5 linked regions of the Cricetulus griseus genome follow. The protein of the gene in region 1 binds, or shares a complex with, the protein of each later gene. Links are inferred from orthologs where the notes say so. Each region holds a gene or a part of one and is shown in the gene's direction. Other genes may lie near its edges.

Region 1 (4,170 bases):
AGTTCTAGGGGATCCAACACCCTCTTCTGGCTTCTGCAAAACACACATGGGCATGGTGCATAGACGTATGTGCAGGCAAAACACACATACACATAAAATGAAAATAAACTTTAAAAAAAAAAGTAGTAGGAGCTAGGGGTGTGGAATATAAGTGTGGAATTTTGGATTTTTTGAGGCCCAGAACTAAAACAGTACATTTCAGCTCCCTATACCACAGCCTCAAAATACATATCTTCAGAGGTAACTTCCCATTCATTTGCTGTAATACCCCCCCAATTGATCACAAAAGATTTATCATCTTTTTCCATTGTTGGAAATTCTCACCTGATCCACGTTTCACATGAGCAAGTCCAGAAAAAGAGGAACTCTCTAGAACACTCCTTTAGGGTCCAAATTCCCATCTCTGATCGGATCTCAGAGATCTCAGATCAGTCCAACTCTGCAAACGCACCTTTTTTTGCCTCTCTTCTCAAAGGCCAGGGCACTTGGAGGGGGAGGGCTAGGGCTGGGCTGGGCTGGGCCTGACAGGAGAGCTTCCTCAGCTTCCCTTATACAATGTTATCAGGAAAATAGGATGGTCCCTTGAGGTCTAATTTGGGAGAAAAAAAAAAAAAACACAAAAAACAAAACATGACCTTGCTGAGTGACCAGGGGACAACCGTGGGCCAGTCCAGGGAGACCGTTTCCTGGCCTGTAAACACACAGGCATAATCAATTTCTGCCTCTCCACTTCTAACAATGGGACGTGTTCAGCAGCAAATGGATCAGAAATGCACAGCCGGTGGATTTGGAGATCCATTACCAACTAGGGAATTTTTTTTTTACTGCTGTGATGTGTTTGGGACCGTCGTTAGGAGTGTGGGGGCAAAGCCAAACCCTCTGGGGTCTCGGTAAATTTAAGTGTGTCACCGTAGCGGGGAGAGTCTCATGTATCCCAAGCTGCCTCAAACTCTCTGTTGGTCAGCCTGGTCTGGATCTTCCTGCCTCCACTTCCCAATTTGTTTGGAGTGGTTTCTCGTCCTCCACAAACATCAAGAACAAAGGATCAGCTCTCAGAAATGAACACTTGGTACCATTTACTATGCTGCCATTTCCCCTGGAACCCACGGGGAGGTTAAAGCAGATGGCCGGCTACCACAGCGCTCAATGCCTCACGAAGGCGACGGAGAGCAAGCAGGCCTTGGGCAAGCCGGACCGCGACTGGCGCAGGGACTGGGTCGCCCGTCAGGGAAAGAAGTCCCGCGCCCGGCCTGCGCGCCAACGTTCCGCTGAGCGGCTCGACAACCGGAAGTAGCCGGGCTCTTGACTCAGGGACCGGGCAGAGCGGAAGTCACTCCGTGAGGCAGTGGCGACAGCGGCGGCGAGAGGATGAACAACAAGTTCGACGCGTGAGTGGCGCGTGGCCGCCCCCGGGGCCCCTTCCCCCAACCGTCCCCCGGGACCGCTCCCGCCGGGGCCGGGCGCGCACTCAGCCGAGCCGCTCGCTCCCGGCCGCCGCGGCCGAGCCTCCCTGCGCCCGCGCCCGACGGGGCCGGGAGAGCGTGGCCGAGGTCGCCGGGACCCCTGAGCCGCTGGACCCCGGCGTGGCGCGGGCCGGGGGAGGGGAGGCCGCACCGCCCGGAAGGAGATTTTCGGACGCCCCGCCCTGGTGGGTGCGGGCTGCCGGCGGCGTGGAGGGGCGGGACCTCGGCGCTTCGGGTGTTTCCGCAGCCTTGCTCCCTTCTTTCTGAAGCGGCTTCCCTCCCGCACCCGCTCTGCGTCCTGGGAAGGTCACCTGCCCCTTCTGAACCTCGGTTTTGTCTTCTGCAAGCGGGGACGGTAACAGAGCCCGTGTCGTAGCGTTGGGCAGCTGCGATGAGGTAATGGGGCAGCCGCGCTGAATACTGTGGCCTCTTGAGTACGGAATGCTTTTCATCCGAGATTCTTCCTGCTTCCTTCCCATCCCCCAGCCACCCACCCACCTACCCACCCACCCACCTCAGTTCCTGTTTTCCAACTCTTAGAGACTGCCCACTCCTGCATTCTTTTCAAGTACCCACTCCCATCCCTAATTCCCGAATCGAACATTTAGGAAGTACAGACAAGAAATATTGAAGTGTTTGGGGGGGCGGGCATTCCCTTTTAACCAGTATATCTTTTTGCATTTAAAAGTAATTTTCGTTTCGTTTAACAGCACTTAAACAATTGTATCTTTCAGTAGTGCTCCTTTTTGTAGTGCACCTTCCTCTTTCATTTCAAAGACTACATTTTTTAGTTTTAGGCCCACCAAATGTTTGCCAGTACAAAAGCTCTCCAGTATGAACTATTGCTCTAACCTCCCTAGTGGTTAGAACCCTCCTGGAAGGATCAGAACACACTCTACAATGCTGAGAGGGACTTTTCTAAAATGCCCATAAGGAGGTGTGAAGGTAGAATGGAACCACCAATAGGTGGTGAAGCTGCGGTTTTTCTGATGTGTATACCCAGGAAGTACTGGGATTCCAGCAGTAAAGGTGGCTCGTGACAGGTTTTCTTGATGGCCGAGTGAACTCTGCTTCTTGAGAAAAGCAGATGTCCTCCATCTCGGCTGCTTTGCTGAGCACAGCAGCAGGATAGCAACCCCTTTGGCCTCCCATCCTAAGCCCTGCAGTACCCAGCCCCGCATCGGCAGCCCTTCCACCCTTCCTCTCCTTATTTGAACAAATCAAACTGAATCCCAAGAAGATAGTTTTTAGGTCATCTGTCTCGAATAAAGGTAGTTATAATGACCACTGTCATAGACACTATTCTGTTGCTGTGAAGAGACACCATGACCAAGACAACTCTTCCGACTTGTTATCTCCAAAAAGCATTCAAATATGTGAGCCTATGTGGCCATTCTAACCTGCCCAGCTACCCACAGGCATCTCTAGGTACTTCTTTTTTAGGTTAGCATAAAGTTAACAGGTTCTGTTATGACACCTTCATACTTATGTATCATTACTTCATTCTCATTCTTTCCTCTACTGTACTCCCCCAGGGTCCCTTTCCTCTGATTCCCTTCTAGTTGGTTCCCCCCTTCTGCTTTTCTATTATATTGCCCTCTGTTTCCCACTATTTTCTTTATAACTCTGCAAAAGAGATCTTTATATCTTTTCTTACAGTTAAGGGAAATGAGGCTCTTCAAGGCTAAGTAACCAGTGCAAGATAGCCTAAAGGGCCAGCTCAGGTTTGCACTTAACTTTGTTCATGAGTGTCTTTATCAACATTTTTTGGGGGTGGTTTTAATTACTTGTAACTATTGGCTGTTGTAAAGAGTAGGGTCTTTTTAATGCCTGCAGGAAAAAAAAATAAGAGTAGTTTCATTTGAAATTAGCAATTAAAGATCATACCCTTGCCCCTAGTGTTGATTTTGTCATTTCACAGTTTCATGTGAAAAGCCTGCAGTTTGTAGACTGTTGTTCCATATTTGGAGTCTGCACTCTTCATCACATCTCCCTGAAACTTTTTAGCGTCATTCTCAAAGTGCAGTCTCCAGTGAGTGCTGTAGTATGGGCACAGATTAATAAGGAGCTCTGACCTTTAATATATGGGCTCTGCTTCTGTCCAATGTAACCAAAGCTGGTAATGGCTTTAAAGGGTGCAAATTTGCTAGGTCTAGTTGCCTTTCTTGTTATTAACATATAAAACCCTAAGATGGTCTCTCAAGAACTACAGCACCAACTGTGGTAAACTTGGTTTCCAGATCCTGCATTTTTGGAGGCCAGGATTGGTCTGGTCAGTTTTATATGGTCCTTTTCTGTCGTAAGCTTTTGGCCCATTCATAAGTGTTTCTAAACCACCCAATTTGATATCATTTTGATTTTGGAGATCCATTAATTAACCGTGTTTGTTTTATGTTTGTGTCTGATGCTAGAGATCCAGTGGAGAATTAGATCAAGTTCCTACCTGTACAGAATTAGCCCACTTCAGAAGGTGTTGGGAAATACCTGGACAGAAGCTTGGAGAGCTAACCCAAGTGTCACTTAGACTGGACATAAATCAGGCAGCTTGAGTCTGGAGTGCTGCTCTTTCAGTGTGACTTTACCTTGGCTCAAATCCAGCTGCAAGCCTGGGAGAGCAGCTTCTGAAAATTAGGTTGTAAAACTTTTGCCTTAGGTGTAGGTGCAGAGAGCAGGTTATTTACATGACTTCTTCAAGAAATAAAAGCAG
Region 2 (4,414 bases), about 110 kb from region 1:
CCTGGTTTATAAAACAAGTTCTAGGACATCCCAGGTTGTTACACAGAAAAACCCTGTCTTGAAAACCACAGAGAGGGAGGGAGGGAGGAAGGGAAGGAGAGAGAGAGAGAGAGAGAGAGAGAGAGAGAGAGAGAGAGAGAGAGAGAGAGAGAGAGAAGCTTATTTTGGCTCACAGTTCAAGAGTATAGTCCACCTTGGCTGGGGAGTCATGATGGCAGGAGGTTGATGTGGCCAGTTACATTGCATCCAAGGTTAGGAAGCTGAGTATAATGAATTCTTTGAATGCTTCTGTACAGCTTGCTTTCTCCTTTTTACTCAGTTCAGGACCCCAGCCCATGCAATGGTATTTCCCACTTTACCTACTGTGGGTTTTCCCGCATCAATTAACATAATCTAGGTAGTTCCTCACAAATTTGCCCAGATTTGTTTCCATGGTGACTCCAAATCCCATCAAGTTGACAGTCAAGATTAATCATTACTCTTCTGAATTTAATACCCTTTTATATAGTTTGACTTTGAAAGGGAATCAAGACTCAGGGAGGGAGTCAGAGAGGGAGGTTGGCATGTGTGTATAAGTTTCCAGGTATTGAACCCAGGGTTCCCAACAGGCTATGTATTCATTCTATCACTGAGCTCTGAAACTCCAGTTATCAACATTTAATTTTAAGGTAAAGCCATGTGAGTATATTTGTAAAAAAAGGAAAAAGTTGATGGGAAGAGCTATGTTGAAAAGGACTGGAGGTTGTAGTTCACTGGTAGTGTAAAGCCCTGTTTTAATCCCAAGAAGTAAAGGCGGTATCCAGGGCAGGAAAAGACTAATGGCGCCAGAAAGACCATGATGACTTGAGATGGTAGCTCTAGCAGGTTTAGCAACTAGTAGTATGTCCAGGTAAACATGGGTTCCAGAAAGACAGCCGATAATTTCCTGTCTTCTGTATTGCTGAGTTTCCTATCCTTTAGCTAGCAGCCCTAAAACCGGAGCACGGGATATAAAGGGGTGGTAGGCCGGCATGGAGTAGGAGGGAGTCAGAACTTTAAAACACTTTCCAGCTGTCACATTCCAACACTTTAAAATGAATTTCCATTTCTACCAGAAGGGAAACTGCTTTGAATTTCAGCCTCGCCATTTGCTCCATGATGGGCAAACTGGCAGGACAATGCTAGGCCAAAAGCTATGGAAAAGTTGCAGCTTGGAAATCCAGCTCCCAAGTGATGTGGAGATTCTTGTACTGCAAAGGGGCACTGGATTGGGTGCACTGGAAGTGAGTCACAAGGGCCTCTGGCTGGGCGGGTTCCAGCTCAGGCCACCAGCTCAACTCTAGGGCCGATTGGAGCTTTAGCCAAAGGCCCCAGTGTGCGCCTGCGCAGCCGCTGCTCCGCCCTCTCCCAGCCCTGCATCCGGGTCTCGGGAAGGGGCGTGCCCGGCCGGAGGGGCGGTCCGCAGAGGAAGGGAAAGATGTCGTGGGAAGCTGGAGTGCGGGGAGGGAGGGAGGCGGGGACGTAGGCGGGCCAGGGGGCGGGGCGGCGCGCGGGGTCACGTGACGTGCGTGGCGACGTGTCGGCCATCTTGTGTTGTTGAGGCTGAGGATTGACTTGGGTTCTGAGAGACTCCTGTCCCGGACCGCAGGTAACCAGTGGCTCGGTGTGTCTCCCCTGCCCGCGGCCATCCCGCGCCCGGGCCCCGCCGTGGCGCCCCGAGCCGCCGTGGCCTGGCGCTCACCGTTGCGTCCCCGCCGTTCCGGCCCGAGCTGGCCGCATGGACACACTTGAGGCTGCCCGGCAGCGGCTGCGGCCGGCTGGGGGCGTCAGACGTGTGGACAGGGCAGGTGCGGGGTCGGCAGGAGCTTCCTCTAGTGCGAGGGCCGCCGCGGGCCGGGCACGTCCCGGCCGAGGGCAGCCCCCGGCCTTCGCCCCCGTGGCATCGCGGGGGGAAGCCGAGGAGAGGAGGCGGGAGGCGGGGTGGGCAGTGTCAGGCCGGAGGGCTCGCCTTCCGCTGCCCGCTCCTCGGGGCCGGCCGGCGGGCCGGCCGCCCGCGCAGCCTCGGGGTGCCCCGGCTAACAGCTGCTGGGAGCCGACAGCTGCTCCCGCCGGCGCTCCTGCCCGCACCTGCCCCGGGGAGGTGCGCCCTGGCCTTCCCCACCGAGCATCTGGACTCGGGAAGACTGCTTCCTCGGCCGGAGAACTGGTCTGGAGCAGGCCCCAGGCGAGGTGGAGTCAGGATCTGATCCTGGGACTGAGAGGCTTGGGAAAGTAGAGCCCCGGGCAGCTCCGGGCACCGGAATGTTCGTTCACACCGGGTTGAAATGGGCAAGCAGTTTCCCACGAAGCACTCTTGAACACTTGAGTTTTGTATGCGAAATACCGGTCAAGTGAGCGGGGAAGGGAGGCTGTGAGAGAAGCAGGTTGTGTCACCGCGTTTGGGAAGCAGGAGCGTTGCTTTGCATTTATCTAGTAGCACTGTGTCCCCTCACCTCCCATTTTCTTGAAAGTCAAAGCACTTAAACACACCTAGTGGCTCTATTAGGAAGGTAAGTAGTCCAACATAACATAAGAAATTAAGGGACATCAATCCGGGATGGCTTCCTACCATTGGATTATAGGTAGTTTGGCTCAGAGTGTTGTATTTAGGGACTGTAGTCTTCTGTAGTTTCTCCTAGGAACAATGACTTCCTAGATGACAAAACTTATCATCCTTTTTGTTTATTAATTTTCATCTTTTTTTAAAGGATTTTATTAATTATGTATACAACATTCTGCTTCCATGTATATCTGCAAATCAGAAGAGGGCACCAGATCTCATAGAGGATGGTTCTGAGCCATCATGTGGATGCTGGGAATTGAACTCAGGACCTCCGGAAGAGCAGTTGGTGCTCTTAACCTCTGAGCCATCTCTTCAGCCCCCAATTTCCATCCTTTTAATTTTAGTTAGAACACATACTTTGTCCTCACTTAATGGTGCTTTCCTAGTGTAGCAGCATTTGAATTGCTTAAACTAGGGTATATACTTCATTGTCACATTAGAAGACACTAGAAAAACATTTAGAAGTCACAGGTATCTGGAAAAATAGCACCAACATTGAAAAGTTAACATTGATATGATGTTAGTGATCTGCTAGAAAGGAAAAGACCATACATACCTGTTTTGGTACTTGTCAAGGATTTTACGGTTTTGTGGCTGGGGAAGTAGGGACTATATATTTTTCGACAAACTTTAAGTACTTATGTCGTATGCTGAGGACAAAAATATTTGTTTCTGTGGAGTCATTTCTAGATATCTAAATACTTAAGTAAAGATACACAAGTGTTTCCTAACGTAAACTGATTGAAAGTTGAAAATATTTTAAGCTGAAAATGCATTTAATACAGTCAGCCTGCTGCCCATCTTACCAGCAAAGTCGCTTGTAGAATCTTGATTATTTCCTTCTCATAATTGTATGGCTGGATTGTGATTTTGTGGCTCTCTGTTCCTAGCCAGCAGTGCCAGGAAGTATTGTACCACATATTGCTAACTCAGGTAGAAAAAAAGAGATAGGGAGACAGGGTATAAGAGTTGTGGGAAGGGTTAATTTTTTAATTTAGTCACCTGAGGAGACTTACAGGTAAGTTCAAATTTGAGGAAACACCTGATAGGTAGAGGCAGGGTACTTCAGCCTGAGAGTCAAAAAGGGCAAAAGACCCTGAGACAAAGCCAAATTTAGGCTGGACCTATCAAGGGCTTGCTAGGAAGAGCATGAGAGTGACCAGCCTGGAGAGATTTAAGTGAGGAAGAAACTGATAGCAATGTGTCTACAGACCTCTTTTGGTAGGAAAATGAGATAGATCATTCACTGTTGTGGAATCTCTTCTTTTCCCTTGTGACTGTGTGTGTGTGTGTGTGTGTGTGTGTGTGTGTGTGTGTGTGTGTGTGTGTGTCTGTGTGTGTGTCTGTGTGTGTGTCTGTGTGTGTAACCCAGGCTGGCCTCAAGCTTGATATTTTGCTTCAGCCTCCCAAATGCTGAGCTCTATGGAAAAGGAAAATCCGGATTCTATAGACTTGAGCCAATATCCCTCCCTCCCTTACATTTGGGAAACTCGGTGTTCAGTTCATATGTTTAGGGAATTCTAATGAATTATTTTAAAAGTAAGTTTTTCTTAGATGTGATTGGTGTTAAGTTGCCTGGAAATACCTTTCAAAAGGAATGGCCTTTAAAGGAGGGTATCCCAGCTTCTTGACTGAAGTAGGAGCACTGCAAACTCAGGCTGGTAACTTGGTGAGACACTGAGACTCAAAAGAGCTAGGAATAAAGCTCAGTGGTAGAGCACTTGCCTTGCTAGCATGCCTGATGACAAAGTTCAGTCCTCAGTACTGCTAAAACCAAACCAAACAAAAAAGAATTGGAAGTTTTAGAATATTTGGAAGTGTAGGGAAATGATG
Region 3 (4,415 bases), about 94 Mb from region 1:
AAAGCTACACAGAGAAACCCTGTCCAAAAAAACCAAAAAAAAAAAAAAAGAAAAGAAATAAAAAAAATCACTTGTATTTCTATATGAACTGAACTATATATATACAGTACACACACACACACACACACACACACACACACACACACACACACACACACACACATCTCCATGAGCAAATGCTCAGAAAGTGTGGGTACAGACAGATTTGCTAGGAGAGAAAACGATCTGACCGTGCAGAGAAAACTGGGTCTCTCCTTTATCGGCAATCACTCAGGGTCGATAGCTTAAGAGCACCTCTAGTAGAGTTTTCCTTTGCTCAAAGATTGCACATCTGGAACCTAGTCCTTCACACTAATGTTCTCGGCTGAGTCATTTTTTAGTCCAGTGAGATGTTAGGTAATGGCTATTGGAGTATTTGGTTATCACAATTGGGAGAAGGAAAGTATTGACTCTGAGTAGGTTAGAGGATTGTTTTGGCATAATATTAGTAGTGCTGAATTCCAGAAAACTCTAACCCTAAGCTTTTGGGGCTTAGGTAAAACAACATATTTAAATCTAGTTGTCATTTATTCAGTGAAAAGAAATTCCTGAAAGCTAGTTTTCATAGAGACTGGGATGTGGAGAAGAGTCAGTGGCATGTCAGTATCCTCAGAAATGGCAGAGGTAGCCTGCTGAAAAATAAGAAGAGAGGGACAAATGCAGTTTCACAAATTTATAACATACGTTGGAGGATAATGTGTTCCTTAGAAATAAGAAGATAATCGTTGAAGTTTTTTAGGACCTATTTTTCATAGGCAAGTGGATCTCTGTGAGTTTGAGGCCAGCCTGGTCTACATAGCTCCAGGACAGCGGGCTACACAGTGAGACTCTGTCTCCAAAAACGGAAAGAGAAAAAAGGGGTGGTGGTGGTTTAGGGTGCACACGATGGCAAACTCCTTTAATCCCAGAATTTGGGTGGTTACCGCAAAAGCTCCCAGATCAGTCAGGTCTCTATTGAAAGTTTGAGGCTATCCCTGGCTACACAGTGAGGAAAACAAACAACAAACCACGCGGTGGTTGCTATTAGGGTACGCGGTCCGACTAGAGCACAGATGCTCAAATAAGAAGCAGTTAATCTCGAGCCCCCGATCACAAATGACTTCCGTGTGGAATCAGAAGTTATTTCCTGAAATAAGAAATTAACTTTATTTGTGCGCCTTCTAAGGAAAAGCTTCGTGATGCACTGAGGAATGATTGAAGAATGGCGCTTGTCTCCCCAAAAACAAACCGGTTTCGTTCCCACGAGGAAGGCTTGAGTCACCGCTTCAGACCGTCGCAGCCACCCAACAGGCCAGGTAGAGGGCATGTGAAACAAGCCAAAGCGCCAGAGACCATCTCCAGTTTGCCCACTACTTCCTGGAAACTCCGCCGAAGCCGCTCGCACTCAGTACGGTGGCCGCTAAGGCCCTGCGGGTGACAGAAAGTCAGATGGGCAGGAGGGCGCTTGCGGATTTCCTAGAAAGGCTCGGCAATGCTCCAGCCATTCTATTGGCTGAGGAAAGTGAGGGCCCGCCTCTCTGCGTGGTCCATTGGTCCTGCGTCCATCGCAGCTGGGCGGGGCCTGGCGCCCCATTGCATCAGCTGGTTCCGGCAAGGCCACGTGGCGCACGCGCAGTGTGGAATTGCTGGTCTTCTCTGCCGCCCTGGGCTCTTCTGTGCGGCGTAGCTCTCGGGTTTTGTCTCTCTCAGCGGTCCTTCCATGTCGGAGGAGAAGGCCAGCAGCCCTTCAGGGAAGATGGACGGCGAGAAGCCGGTGAGCAGGCGCAGTGGCTGGACGTGCCCTGGGAACCGACATTGCCCGGCGGGAGTGGACAGTAGCAGGGTCTTGCCGGTACTGGGGAGCCCCAGCAGGCAGGAGTGGCCCGGGGGTCGTCCTCTCCCAGAGATCTGTGTGTGGACTGAGACTGACCAGCTCGCTCAGAGCTACACAGTAACGTGGAGGGCTTGGACTCCCACACATTTGTGTCCCCGAGATAGGCGGGAAGAACATTGCAGAACTTTAAAAATCCTAAACTTTTGTGGAGCAGAAAGCTCTAGTTTAGGAGGGGAAAGACAGTCCTCGAGACCAGATCCAGTTTGACCAAGATTGGGTGCAAATGGTGAAGGCTAGATAGCTCCATTTAACAGACTGCTTGGAAATTAGGCTGGGTGCTGGAAGCGTCCTAGATAACTTCACACGCGCCCTCCTGAAAGCCAACAAATGTTCTGTGTATTTGTTTGTCCTGGCGTTTAGCCGGACAGCGCAGGTGGCAACAGGAATAAGATCGATTACCTGACTTTGGGGTGGGGGTGGGGGGTGGGAGGCGTAGAATTCAAGACTGGAAAATTGAAGTTCTGTGTGATCAGCTCAGTTGCGATATAGAGGAAGCACCGAACTTCGTACGGCCAGGACTGTTTTATTGGATTTAGAAAAATGAGGTCTGGAAAAGTAGGCGGGACAGGGCTGTCCAGATACAGGGGGTTAGTTGTGTTTCAGCTGCATTGGAAGAGACAGGAGAGAAACAGGAAATAGAGATCGAAGATATTAGTGTTCTCTACATGCAGGGTTTTAATCATGAAGGTGCTGTATATGAACTGTATTGTCAAAACTGACTTGGCATTGAGGTTTGAGAGCTGAGGCCCTATGACAGAGGATGTTTGGTAATCCAAGTGAACATCTCTAAGGTCTTCGACAAGAGGAATTTCCATCCAGGACGTAAAATGTTTATGTATACAGTCTAAACTACAGTTTTAAGGTGATGAGTGATAACTACACATAGATATTGTTTCCATTAAAAAATGGTATTTTACCGTTTACAAGTTGGTTACCCTTTTACTCCTTTCCAGACTGTCCTTTAATCCTACTCTTAAACCCAGTTCTTTTATTTCAGGGTCCCCCTGGGTTCTTAAGATTAACATGAGGCTAGGAGTTAGCCAAGATAATCACTCCCTGAGCAGGCTTGTAGTAAAACATTAGAGATTTTATGAGTAAAATGAATTGAAATGTAAAATGTGGTATTATTGCCTCCATAATAATCAGGTATCTTAAATTTTGGAAAGCTTACTTGGTGGGGTGTAGATCTAACCCAAAAGTTCTTTTGTCACTAAGCTGCATCCCCAGCTCCACAGGCCAAACCTTTTATGCCTTTCACATTTAATTTTCACAAGGCCATGTTAAATAAAATAGTTACACCCAGTTCACAAGAGGGAAAACTGGACCTAGAAGTGAACTGACAAGTGTGATCACACAGCCCACTTAGGCTCCCTGGAGATGCTTCGGGCTGAATAGGTAGGTAGATAATATATTCCCCTGCCCCTGAAATAACTCATATTGACTAAATTGTATAATTTCTTGCTGCTTTGTATTTACTACAGGTCCAAGCCTAAAGTGTACATCCATAAGTAGCCTTCTACTTTTTTAGGGCTTCTTTTTATTGCAAGTTGTCTAAATTGTTTTTACCAGTGATGGAATTTCTAGTCTTTCAGAATAAGATTGTCCTTTTTAATTTTTTTATTTATTTAGATAATAGCTTTCTTAGCTGCAGTTTTGGAGAAGATGTCAAATTAGGTTGGAATATGAGAACTTCTCTTTTGCTTCTTTAGGTGGATGTCAGTGAGGAGAAGCGAAAGGAAGGAGGCAAGAAGAAGAACAAAGATGGAGGTGGAGATGGAGGTCGAGCAGAGGTAAAACAAGCTACCGCTTTAGAGGCTTGGGTTTCCCAGGCTAGCGGGAACAAGGAGCTGTCCTGAACTTACCCAACGAGAGAGAGAGAGAGAGAGAGAGAGAGAGAGAGAGAGAGAGAGAGAGAGAGAGAGACTCTGTGTGTGTGTGTGTGTGTGTGTGTGTGTGTGTGTGTGTGTGTGTGTGTATCCATGGCACACGTGTAGAAGCCAGAGGGCAGCTGGTATGCAATGCAGTCCTTCTCCACTCTGGGTGCTGAGGATAGAGTTCAGATATTACACTTGGTGGCCCCTGTGTAAGGGTTCTCATGGTCACCGAAGGCAGTAAGGTAGTACTAGGTGGAAAACAAAGAAAGACGAGTTAGAAAAGTGTCGGAGAGTGAAAAAGGATTTGCAAGTACTTGACAGTGCAGACAGACAAGTGTATTATTGTAAGATGACGTCACAGTGGATTTAGATAGAAACATGAGAGATCAAAAGTATCGAGGAAGGGCTACAGTTGTCACTAGGCTGCCAAGACTGGATGTTGACTTTCCATTTTTTTAAGTGAGGTGTGAATGGGTAAGGGCTCAGTGTTAGGTTCCTACAAGTACATAAAGAACCAAACAGAATCCAGTTCCTTGATCCCTTTCTTATTGCTTGGATCTGCTTCTGGGGTCTGGTATACTTATATCCAGAAAATTGTTCAGTTGCTGGGCTCAGTGACTCAGAACTGG
Region 4 (4,232 bases), on another chromosome or scaffold:
CCCTTTCTTTCTCTCACTTTTTGAGATAAGGTCTCACATTGTCTGGCCCAGGCTGTACCTCAAACTCACTGTAACCATGCCTGGCCTCAACTTTGTGGTATTTATCTTGTCTCAGATTCTTCAGTATTAGAACTATGTGAGCTACAGCCCAGTTCTAGCTTTCTTGTTTTCTTTGAAACAGGGTCTTGTTGTGTATCATAGGCTAGAAGCCTTGATCCTCTTGCCTCAGCCTCCCAAGTGCTGGGACAAGTGTGTGGCACCATACCTAGCTTGAGTGTTGAGCTTTGTAAGCAGGCCCTCCCTGGAATCTTAGTTCTGGGAAATCTAGGGCCTCCATTGCAACCAAACAAGTCAAAAGCAAAACTCCTTTCAAAATGCTTCTCCCAAAGGGAGGAAGGTGACCCGGTATGTTCTCAAGTGTGGAGAGAGACAGGCTAGCCTGGACTCCAGCGAAGGTTGGCATACATTCAACAGTATGACCTCAGGCATTTATTCGTCAGCTGTGTGATCTTGTGCAAAACCCTGTCCTTTTCTGAACTTCAGTTTTCTGCTGTTTGTGGTTGTTATTGATTGCTTGCTTTGCTTTGTGGAGATGTAGTCCCACTAAGAAGCCTGGGCTATCCTGTAACTCATGATCCTTCTAGGGCTTCAGCCTCCCCAGTTCTGAAATTACAGGCATTCCCTACCACATGGAGATTGATAGATTCTCTATCCTATTAGACATGACGGTCCTCCTTGCCACTCCCCTCCCCTCCCTACCAAAGTGTTGGAATAGACTACAATTTGAGGACTGTTGGGGAAACGTCTTTGACCAGCCCATCCTCTACAGAGGTCCGATCTTGCCACATCAGATTTACAGTCAGTTTCCAGCTGGCTGGCTAGTTCCCTCTTAGTCCACCACTCCTTTCAAGGCCAGGGATGCGCATTGTTCAGCCACTGCTCTGACTCCTACAGCACAGTGGAAACGAAAGAAGCGTTAAGATGGGCGAAGGATCAGCCCACCCTTACTTTCTTCTAGTAGGAACAGCTGGGGATCGAGAGATCACATCCTAATATAGAAAGCAGGCCGTCTAGTGCGCCGAAAACGCGGTCACCAAATCGGAGAGCTTTTCCAACGTCACCCCTATATAGCTCTTCTCAGTGCGTCGGGGAGGGACCCCGGAACCTAAGGGGCCAACACTGGGGTTCCCGCACTGGAGAGGGCAGAAGCCGCTAGGTCAGCAGCTGGGAACAACTTGCATGCAGCGGGCTGGAGCTGGGTGGGGCCGGGCGGACCTCAAGTCTCAGGGGGCGTGGAGCCCAGGCGGAAGGGGCGGGCCGGGCTGGAGAAGGGCTGGGCCGAGGTGCCGCGGGGCTGCTGGAGGGTCGTGGGCGGCACGTAGGAGACATGTCTGGGGGTAGCAGCTGCAGCCAGACTCCCAGCCGGGCCATCCCCACTCGCCGGGTAGCCCTCGGCGACGGCGTGCAGCTCCCGCCCGGGGACTATAGCACCACCCCGGGCGGCACACTCTTCAGCACCACCCCAGGAGGTAGGCGCGGGCCGGGGTTGGGGCGACCTCCAGGGCAGGAGGGCACCCCGGGATCCGGAGTCGCACGTGCGACGGGGGTGGCGGCGCTCAAGGGTTCCATAGCTGGACAGAACGGATAGGGGCGTCAGGAAGGCTGGAGGGTAACCGTCTCGGTTGCCCGCCTGCTGGGTGTGGTGGAGCGTGGTCTGGGGGCCCGTCTGCAAACTGCGCGCTTTTTCCTGGGAGAGACCGCGGAGTGCCCCAAGCACACAGATAGGCACTCTGCCATGATTACCATGTGCTCAAGTGAGGCCTCTCTGGGTGTCACGACAGTTCTAGGGTGGGTCAGGATGGGGGTCTGGGTGGAGCAGGGGAAGGGCCAGGCCTGGAGATTAAGTTTAGTTGATCTCTCTTGGAATAAAGGACGCCTGCACACTTTTTAACCTTCCCCGGGCAACCCTCGTTTTGCGTTGGGACACTCGCTTATTGATGAAGGCTGGGCGTTGAGGGTGCTCTCTGCCCCAGGAGCACGTCTCGGCCACCTGTGGCATGAAGCCGATTTAGAGAGTGAGATCTCCAGACAGGGGCCTGGCGCTGCGTCCATGGCTGTGCAGAACAACACGTTCCTCGGGTCTGGGGGGAGGGCACAACGCTGAATTCGCCCAAGTGGCGGAGGATGAGGAAGAGGAAGCTGAGTTGGCGCGGGACGGGGCCGGGCTCCAGGAACTAGGCATTCCCAGCTTGCCCCGAGCCCCAGTATAGGCGCTGATGAAACCTACACGCCCGTTTGCATGATGAAATGCTCGTGGCTCACTACTTCCCTCCCATTCTCGAGCTGCTCCCACCCATTTTGCGCTTCTCCCTTCCCTGATCTCCTCCCCCAAGCTTCTCCTCTTACAACTCAAAAAAACAGGAGAGTTCCTGGCGCTGCGCTGAACCTTGGGCTACTGCAGGCGCGTCCAGGCCACATGCCTTTTTTCTCAAGCAGCTGTTCCTATACCAGGGAACACAGCCAGACCCCAGAACCAAGGCGCCGTTGAAGGGATCTTGTAGATGAGTGTCCAGTTTGTGCCTCTTGGTCTTCAGAACAACCCCCCCCCCTTTTTGAGCGCGTGTCTGTTATGCATTGTCACGATGTGTTCCTAGCAAACAGGTAGAGCGGGGAAGGCATTCTCCCTTTCATTAGAAATGGCCCAGGGAAAACTCTGCAGGCTTCTGGTCTCCCTTTCCTGGAGTTCTCAGAACTTTCCTGGCCTCTTCTAGTTCACACTCTTGCACCCTTTCTTTGTCTTGTTACAGAACTTTGTGTTTAAGCACAAACTTGGCAGACAGTTGAGTCCTTACAGGTGAGGCGTGAATCTTTTTTTTTTTTTTTTTTTTTTTATGTACAGGCACTGAGGCAGGCTTAAAGGCTCAGGGAAACCCTTTTTGCCCCCCCCCCCTTTTTTTTTTTTTTTTTTCGGATGGACAGTACTGTTTGTATGAAGATCCACTTCACACTATGGACTGGGAAGTGTCAAAGTTGGCAAATCATGATGTCCCAAAGCCACTGGCCCTTTGTCAGGGTGTTTTTTTTTTTTTTTTTTTTTTTTTTGTGGGGTACACAGCCCATAGCTTGAGGAGAGTCTATCTCATTTCTGCCAAAGCCAACAAGCCTGTTCTTTAGCTAAACAGTTGGATCTTCTTCAAGGGCTATTCCTTCCAGGGCTTCTCTGCCAAAGTGGAGAAGCTTGACCCATTTGCTTCAGAGTTTCTCATTACTTAGACCCCCAATTAAATACGGAGTTGGAGTACAAAGGTCTACAGAGTGAGTTCCAGGACAGCCAGGGTTGCATGAAGATCCACTTGCCTCTGCCTTCCTAGTTCTGGGACTAAAGGTGTGCACCACCACATCTGGCCATCCAGGCTTTCCTTACTGTTACATACCTTTTGGGCTGTTTCTAATGGCTCTGACCTGTACTTCCTTGGAAATCCATCTAACTTTTGAATTTTTCTACATATATCAAGGGCTGGCTGGGAGACAAAGGCCATGTTAATATCCTTGAGATTTGCTATGTCCTCAGGATCTATAGGAGTATATAGCCAATAAGCTTGAAGCAGGACTGAGATATTGCCTAACCATTTTACAGGATTTCCAGGTGAAAGGGACAAGCGACATCCATACATGTGTTATTTGCCTTTTCAGGTCTTTGGGAGTCTGGCAAAGTAGATTCCATCCAGGCATGAAGTCAGGCTGGCATTTCCTGAACTTAGGCTTTTCTGTACATCTTGGCTTGTGATTGACCCTTAGGGGCTGTGAGCTTTTCATGAAGGAATATTGCCTTAAGTCCCTTCAGCTGAGATGGCTTTGAAGCAGTTGTCTTGGGGAGGCCATGAGGGAGGCCAGAATGCCAGGACACAGCAGGTGGCCTGAGCCTCCTCCATTCCTGTGGTCATTATCCCTTTGCTGGCCCACCCAGTTAGGTATTCTGAGAACCTAAGACGTTTCTGAGGGGAGTGTCCTATGTGGGTCTTTAAGATGGTCAGCAGTCCCATAAACAGAATCTTCTAGTAAAGGCCCAGGATGGATGTTTGACCTCTGACGAAGTTGTTGGGGTGCCCGTACCTATTAGTGCCTGGGTGAGGTTAATCAGGCGAGCAGTCAGGGTGGCAATGGTAATGACCTGCTGTTTTGTTAAGCAAGCAAATTGGTGCATGTGAATTAAATCCAGCACTTGGGGGAGG
Region 5 (3,187 bases), on another chromosome or scaffold:
ATACCGTCTGAGCCCAGTATGTCTGTAGCCGCCAGCTCCCGCAGTGTACGACGCTCCGGGAAAAGGCAGCTATGGGGGACCTGACGCCGCCGCAGCAGCAGCAGCTCACTGCGTTCCTGCAGCAGCTCCAGGCTCTCAAAACCCCCAGGTCTGTTGTACTAAGTGTGTGAGTGTGGGGGGGTGTCTGTGTGAGTGTTGGGGTGAGTGTGGGAGGGTTTGTCTGTGTGTGGGAGGGGGTGTGTGTGTGATGGTGTGAGGTAGAGAAGGAGGAGGTCAAGCTACAGGTAATGCAGTGTCCTGAGGGCCAGTTGTTTGCTTCTAAGGGGTGGCGACCAGAACCTGCTCCCGACGATGAGCCGGTCCTTGTCGGTGCCAGATTCGGGCCCCCTCTGGGACTTACATACCTCAGCTTCATCACAGTCAGGTGAGTGGCCAACCTGCCCCATGCCACACCCTGGTCCCCTTTACCCCCCAGTCTCTGCTTGTCACACTTGGTGGCTCTGCCTCCTATCTGCGGGTGGTTCTGCTGGGTCTGGGTCTCTGCAGCTGCCTTTCTTCTGCAGGTGGTGAAGCCAGTCTTTGGGACATACCAATTAACTCTTCGACTCAGGGTCCAATTCTAGAACAACTCCAGCTGCAACATAAAGTAAGTAGCCTGCTGGCCTGGCGCAGGCCAGCTGAAGCAGGCGCAGCCTCCCAGCTAACGAATGTCCTTGTCACTGCAGTTTCAAGAGCGCAGAGAAGTGGAGCTCAGGGCAAAGCGGGAGGAAGAGGAGCGCAAACGCCTTTGCCGTGAGGAAAAGCGCCGCCAGCAGCAGCAGCAGCAGCAGGAGGAGCAAAAGCGGCGGCAGGAAGAGGAAGAGCTCTTCCGGCGCAAGCAGGTACAAGTCCCACCTGTCTCCTGGACCTGGCCTGTGCCTGGTGCCAGACAGCCACCAACATCCACTGTGCCTCACCCAGGTGCGACAGCAGGAACTGCTGCTGAAGCTGCTACAGCAGCAGCAAGCAACAAGTGTCCCTGTGCCCCCTGCGCCAAGCTCCCCTCCCCCACTCTGGGCCGGCCTAGCCAAGCAGGGCCTATCCATGAAGACTCTGCTGGAGCTGCAGATGGAAAGTGAGCGGCAGCTCCACAAGCAGCCTGCACCCCGGGAGCCTCTGAGGGCCCAGGCCCCCAACCACCGAGTGGTAAGCAGCAGCGGCCGGAACCACACCAGTGAAGCTTCCAGGAGCACTCAGGGAGGTGGGGGGGTGGGGGGGTGTCCCTAAGCGTAGACTCTAAAGCTGAAGACCTGGTTCTTTCCATTATTGGAAGGATGTCCTCTCTCTCTAGTCGTTAGCTCATCCCCTTCCCTTAGCCCCCAAAAGAGCCTCCCTGCCTAGGTGTTCAGGGCTCATTTTCGAGCCCCTGACTTCCTGCCATTTGCAGCAGCTTGGGGGCTTGGGCACTGCCCCTCTGAACCAGTGGGTGTCTGAGGCTGGGCCACTGTGGGGCGGGCCAGACAAGAGTGGGGGCAGCAGCAGTGGCAGTCTGGGACTCTGGGAAGACACCGTCAAGAGTGGCGGGAACCTGGCCCGGAACCTGGGCCTAAAGAACAGTCGGAGCAGCCCGTCTCTCAGGTGGGTGAGACCTTTTTAGCTGGGGTCTGCCAGGGAGGGATGGGTGCTAAGCTCCTGGGCTCATCTGTGGCCTCCAATTCCCCACCCTCCTCAGTGACTCATACAGCCACCTGTCAGGTCGACCTGTTCGCAAAAAGACAGAAGAGGAAGAGAAGTTGCTGAAGCTGCTGCAGGGCATCCCTCGGCCCCAGGATGGCTTTACCCAGTGGTGTGAGCAGATGCTACACACCCTGAGCACCACAGGCAGCCTGGATGGTAGGAAGGCAGTCCTTGTGGGTCATGTTTGCACTGGGGACTCTAGACCTGTCCAGCATGTTTGACTGTCCCTCCCCATAGTGCCCATGGCTGTAGCGATCCTCAAGGAGGTGGAGTCCCCCTATGATGTCCATGATTATATCCGTTCCTGCCTGGGGGACACGCTGGAAGCCAAAGAATTTGCCAAACAATTCCTGGAGCGGAGGGCCAAGCAGAAAGCCAGCCAACAGAGGCAGCAGCAGCAGCAGGTAGAGTCTTGTGGGACCTAGGGAGGCAAGGCACCAGGGCTCTCCTGACTCCACTCTTTTGCCTTAGGAGGCCTGGCTGAGTAGCACCTCCCTACAGACAGCCTTTCAGGCCAACCACAGCACCAAACTGGGCCCTGGGGAGGGCAGCAAGGCCAAGAGGAGGGCACTGATGCTTCACTCAGACCCCAGCATCTTGGGTAAGTAGAGGGTGCTGGGGAGCCCTGCTTTCCCTGCACAGGCTGCACAGGACCTAGTGAGCTCACCCTCACTTCTCCCCTGGCTTCAGGGTACTCCCTGCATGGCCCTTCCGGTGAGATCGAGAGCGTGGATGACTACTGACCAGCCTGTCCCATCAGCCCCCGAGCTGGAGGCTTGGGAGGCTAGGGAGGCGGCGGCAGCATGGACCCTTGGGTCTCCAGCCTGCGGGCTCCCAACAAGGAGCAAAGGAGGAAGCAAGTGGGGCATGGTCCCCGGCACTTGTTACAGACCACACGATGCACCTTAACTCACCCACCACGAGGCACTTTACACACGGGGAGGGGCTTTCTTTTTTTCTCTTTCATTTTCAACGTTAGGAGAGACAAAAGTATCATTCAAAAACTAGACTGTAGGCCCCTTCACCCCTTTGGGGATAATGGGTGCGACATTGGAAGGTCCACAGAGGCTTTATTTTGGTTTGGGTTTTTTTTTTGTTTGGGTTTTTTTGTTTTGTTTTGTTTTTTTTGGTTAAGATGAAAAATAATGGGGGGGGGGAACCACACTGTTATTTTGGGGCAGTGGGTACCATGCCCTATGGAACTGCCCTGCCTGGCTCCCCTTAAGGCTGCACTTACCCTGCTGCTGCCCCCCAGAAGGTGGTCATTGGGGTGACTGGAAGATGGGTGCTGGCAGTTTACACAGCGAGGCCCTCTCCAGAAGCGCTGCCCACTGGACCTGCTGTGAACAGCTCCCTGTGGTGGTTACTGTGGCAGGTGTCCTGGTAAGGGGGCCAAAGTCACCCCTTGCCTCAGCTGCTTGGGAGGAAGGTTGCACAAATTGGACAAGCTGTCTTCAGCCCCCTCTCCCTC

What was found.
Region 2: the proteins of Eif4e2 (region 1) and Gigyf2 are in contact, whole or in part, in a crystal structure (PDB 5NVM), measured with the Homo sapiens proteins. The link is inferred for Cricetulus griseus from reciprocal best matches to the Homo sapiens genes EIF4E2 and GIGYF2. Residues at the interface, in NP_004837.1 of Homo sapiens: His54, Pro55, Leu56, Gln57, Tyr64, Arg66, Asn81, Lys83, Gln84, Ile85, Gly86, Thr87, Val91, Glu92, Phe94, Trp95, Arg96, Phe97, Ser99, His100, Met101, Val102, Leu107, Phe113, Glu149, Asn150, Leu153, Leu156, Gly157, Glu158; in NP_001096616.1 of Homo sapiens: Leu38, Ala39, Asp40, Tyr41, Arg42, Tyr43, Gly44, Arg45, Met48, Leu49, Leu51, Phe52, Leu53, Asn56, Lys57, Ile58, Pro59, Asp61, Leu62, Asp64, Glu66, Phe67, Pro69, Ile70, Leu71, Gln72.
Region 3: the proteins of Eif4e2 (region 1) and Tars1 are in contact, whole or in part, in a crystal structure (PDB 5XLN), measured with the Homo sapiens proteins. The link is inferred for Cricetulus griseus from reciprocal best matches to the Homo sapiens genes EIF4E2 and TARS1. Residues at the interface, in NP_004837.1 of Homo sapiens: His54, Pro55, Leu56, Gln57, Val91, Glu92, Phe94, Trp95, Arg96, Glu149, Asn150, Leu153, Leu156, Gly157, Glu158, Gln159, Met161, Val203; in NP_001245366.1 of Homo sapiens: Pro51, Glu52, Tyr53, Ile54, Tyr55, Thr56, Arg57, Met60, Tyr61, Ile63, Leu64, Glu67.
Region 4: the proteins of Eif4e2 (region 1) and Eif4ebp1 are in contact, whole or in part, in a crystal structure (PDB 5NVN), measured with the Homo sapiens proteins. The link is inferred for Cricetulus griseus from reciprocal best matches to the Homo sapiens genes EIF4E2 and EIF4EBP1. Residues at the interface, in NP_004837.1 of Homo sapiens: Glu53, His54, Pro55, Leu56, Gln57, Tyr58, Tyr64, Arg66, Lys83, Gln84, Ile85, Gly86, Val91, Glu92, Gln93, Trp95, Arg96, Phe97, Ser99, His100, Met101, Val102, Leu107, Phe113, Glu149, Asn150, Leu153, Gly157, Glu158, Gln159; in NP_004086.1 of Homo sapiens: Arg51, Ile52, Ile53, Tyr54, Asp55, Arg56, Phe58, Leu59, Met60, Cys62, Arg63, Ser65, Val67, Thr68, Lys69, Thr70, Pro71, Pro72, Asp74, Leu75, Pro76, Ile78, Pro79, Gly80, Val81, Thr82, Ser83.
Region 5: the proteins of Eif4e2 (region 1) and Gigyf1 are in contact, whole or in part, in a crystal structure (PDB 5NVK), measured with the Homo sapiens proteins. The link is inferred for Cricetulus griseus from reciprocal best matches to the Homo sapiens genes EIF4E2 and GIGYF1. Residues at the interface, in NP_004837.1 of Homo sapiens: His54, Pro55, Leu56, Gln57, Tyr64, Lys83, Gln84, Ile85, Gly86, Val91, Glu92, Trp95, Arg96, Phe97, Tyr98, Ser99, His100, Met101, Val102, Arg103, Leu107, Phe113, Ile137, Arg138, Leu139, Arg140, Gly142, Leu143, Ser145, Arg146; in NP_001362694.1 of Homo sapiens: Leu36, Ala37, Asp38, Tyr39, Arg40, Tyr41, Gly42, Arg43, Met46, Leu47, Leu49, Tyr50, Glu53, Asn54, Lys55, Val56, Pro57, Glu59, Leu60, Glu64, Phe65, Ala67, Val68, Leu69, Gln70, Asp71, Glu72, Pro73, Leu74, Gln75.

What each region holds. Positions count from the first base shown.
Region 1 is NC_048595.1:438,858,639-438,862,808, forward strand, and holds the start of Eif4e2 (eukaryotic translation initiation factor 4E type 2), read left to right. Parts: upstream 1-1,251; 5' UTR 1,252-1,368; coding exon 1,369-1,388; intron 1,389-1,445; exon of another isoform or gene 1,446-1,854; coding exon of another isoform or gene 1,855-1,859; intron 1,860-4,170. UniProt on the Homo sapiens protein: Recognizes and binds the 7-methylguanosine-containing mRNA cap during an early step in the initiation. Acts as a repressor of translation initiation.
Region 2 is NC_048595.1:438,969,145-438,973,558, forward strand, and holds the start of Gigyf2 (GRB10-interacting GYF protein 2), read left to right. Parts: upstream 1-1,503; 5' UTR 1,504-1,627; intron 1,628-4,414. UniProt on the Homo sapiens protein: Key component of the 4EHP-GYF2 complex, a multiprotein complex that acts as a repressor of translation initiation. In the 4EHP-GYF2 complex, acts as a factor that bridges EIF4E2 to ZFP36/TTP, linking translation repression with mRNA decay.
Region 3 is NC_048595.1:344,528,542-344,532,956, reverse strand, and holds the start of Tars1 (threonine--tRNA ligase 1, cytoplasmic), read left to right. Parts: upstream 1-1,615; 5' UTR 1,616-1,738; coding exon 1,739-1,792; intron 1,793-3,621; coding exon 3,622-3,702; intron 3,703-4,415. UniProt on the Homo sapiens protein: Catalyzes the attachment of threonine to tRNA(Thr) in a two-step reaction: threonine is first activated by ATP to form Thr-AMP and then transferred to the acceptor end of tRNA(Thr).
Region 4 is NW_023276807.1:56,590,376-56,594,607, reverse strand, and holds the start of Eif4ebp1 (eukaryotic translation initiation factor 4E-binding protein 1), read left to right. Parts: upstream 1-1,322; 5' UTR 1,323-1,387; coding exon 1,388-1,529; intron 1,530-4,232. UniProt on the Homo sapiens protein: Repressor of translation initiation that regulates EIF4E activity by preventing its assembly into the eIF4F complex: hypophosphorylated form competes with EIF4G1/EIF4G3 and strongly binds to EIF4E, leading to repress translation.
Region 5 is NC_048597.1:116,448,767-116,451,953, forward strand, and holds the end of Gigyf1 (GRB10-interacting GYF protein 1), read left to right. Parts: intron 1-28; coding exon 29-148; intron 149-323; coding exon 324-424; intron 425-563; coding exon 564-646; intron 647-725; coding exon 726-881; intron 882-960; coding exon 961-1,185; intron 1,186-1,426; coding exon 1,427-1,617; intron 1,618-1,711; coding exon 1,712-1,872; intron 1,873-1,953; coding exon 1,954-2,120; intron 2,121-2,187; coding exon 2,188-2,317; intron 2,318-2,406; coding exon 2,407-2,459; 3' UTR 2,460-2,595; downstream 2,596-3,187. UniProt on the Homo sapiens protein: May act cooperatively with GRB10 to regulate tyrosine kinase receptor signaling. May increase IGF1 receptor phosphorylation under IGF1 stimulation as well as phosphorylation of IRS1 and SHC1.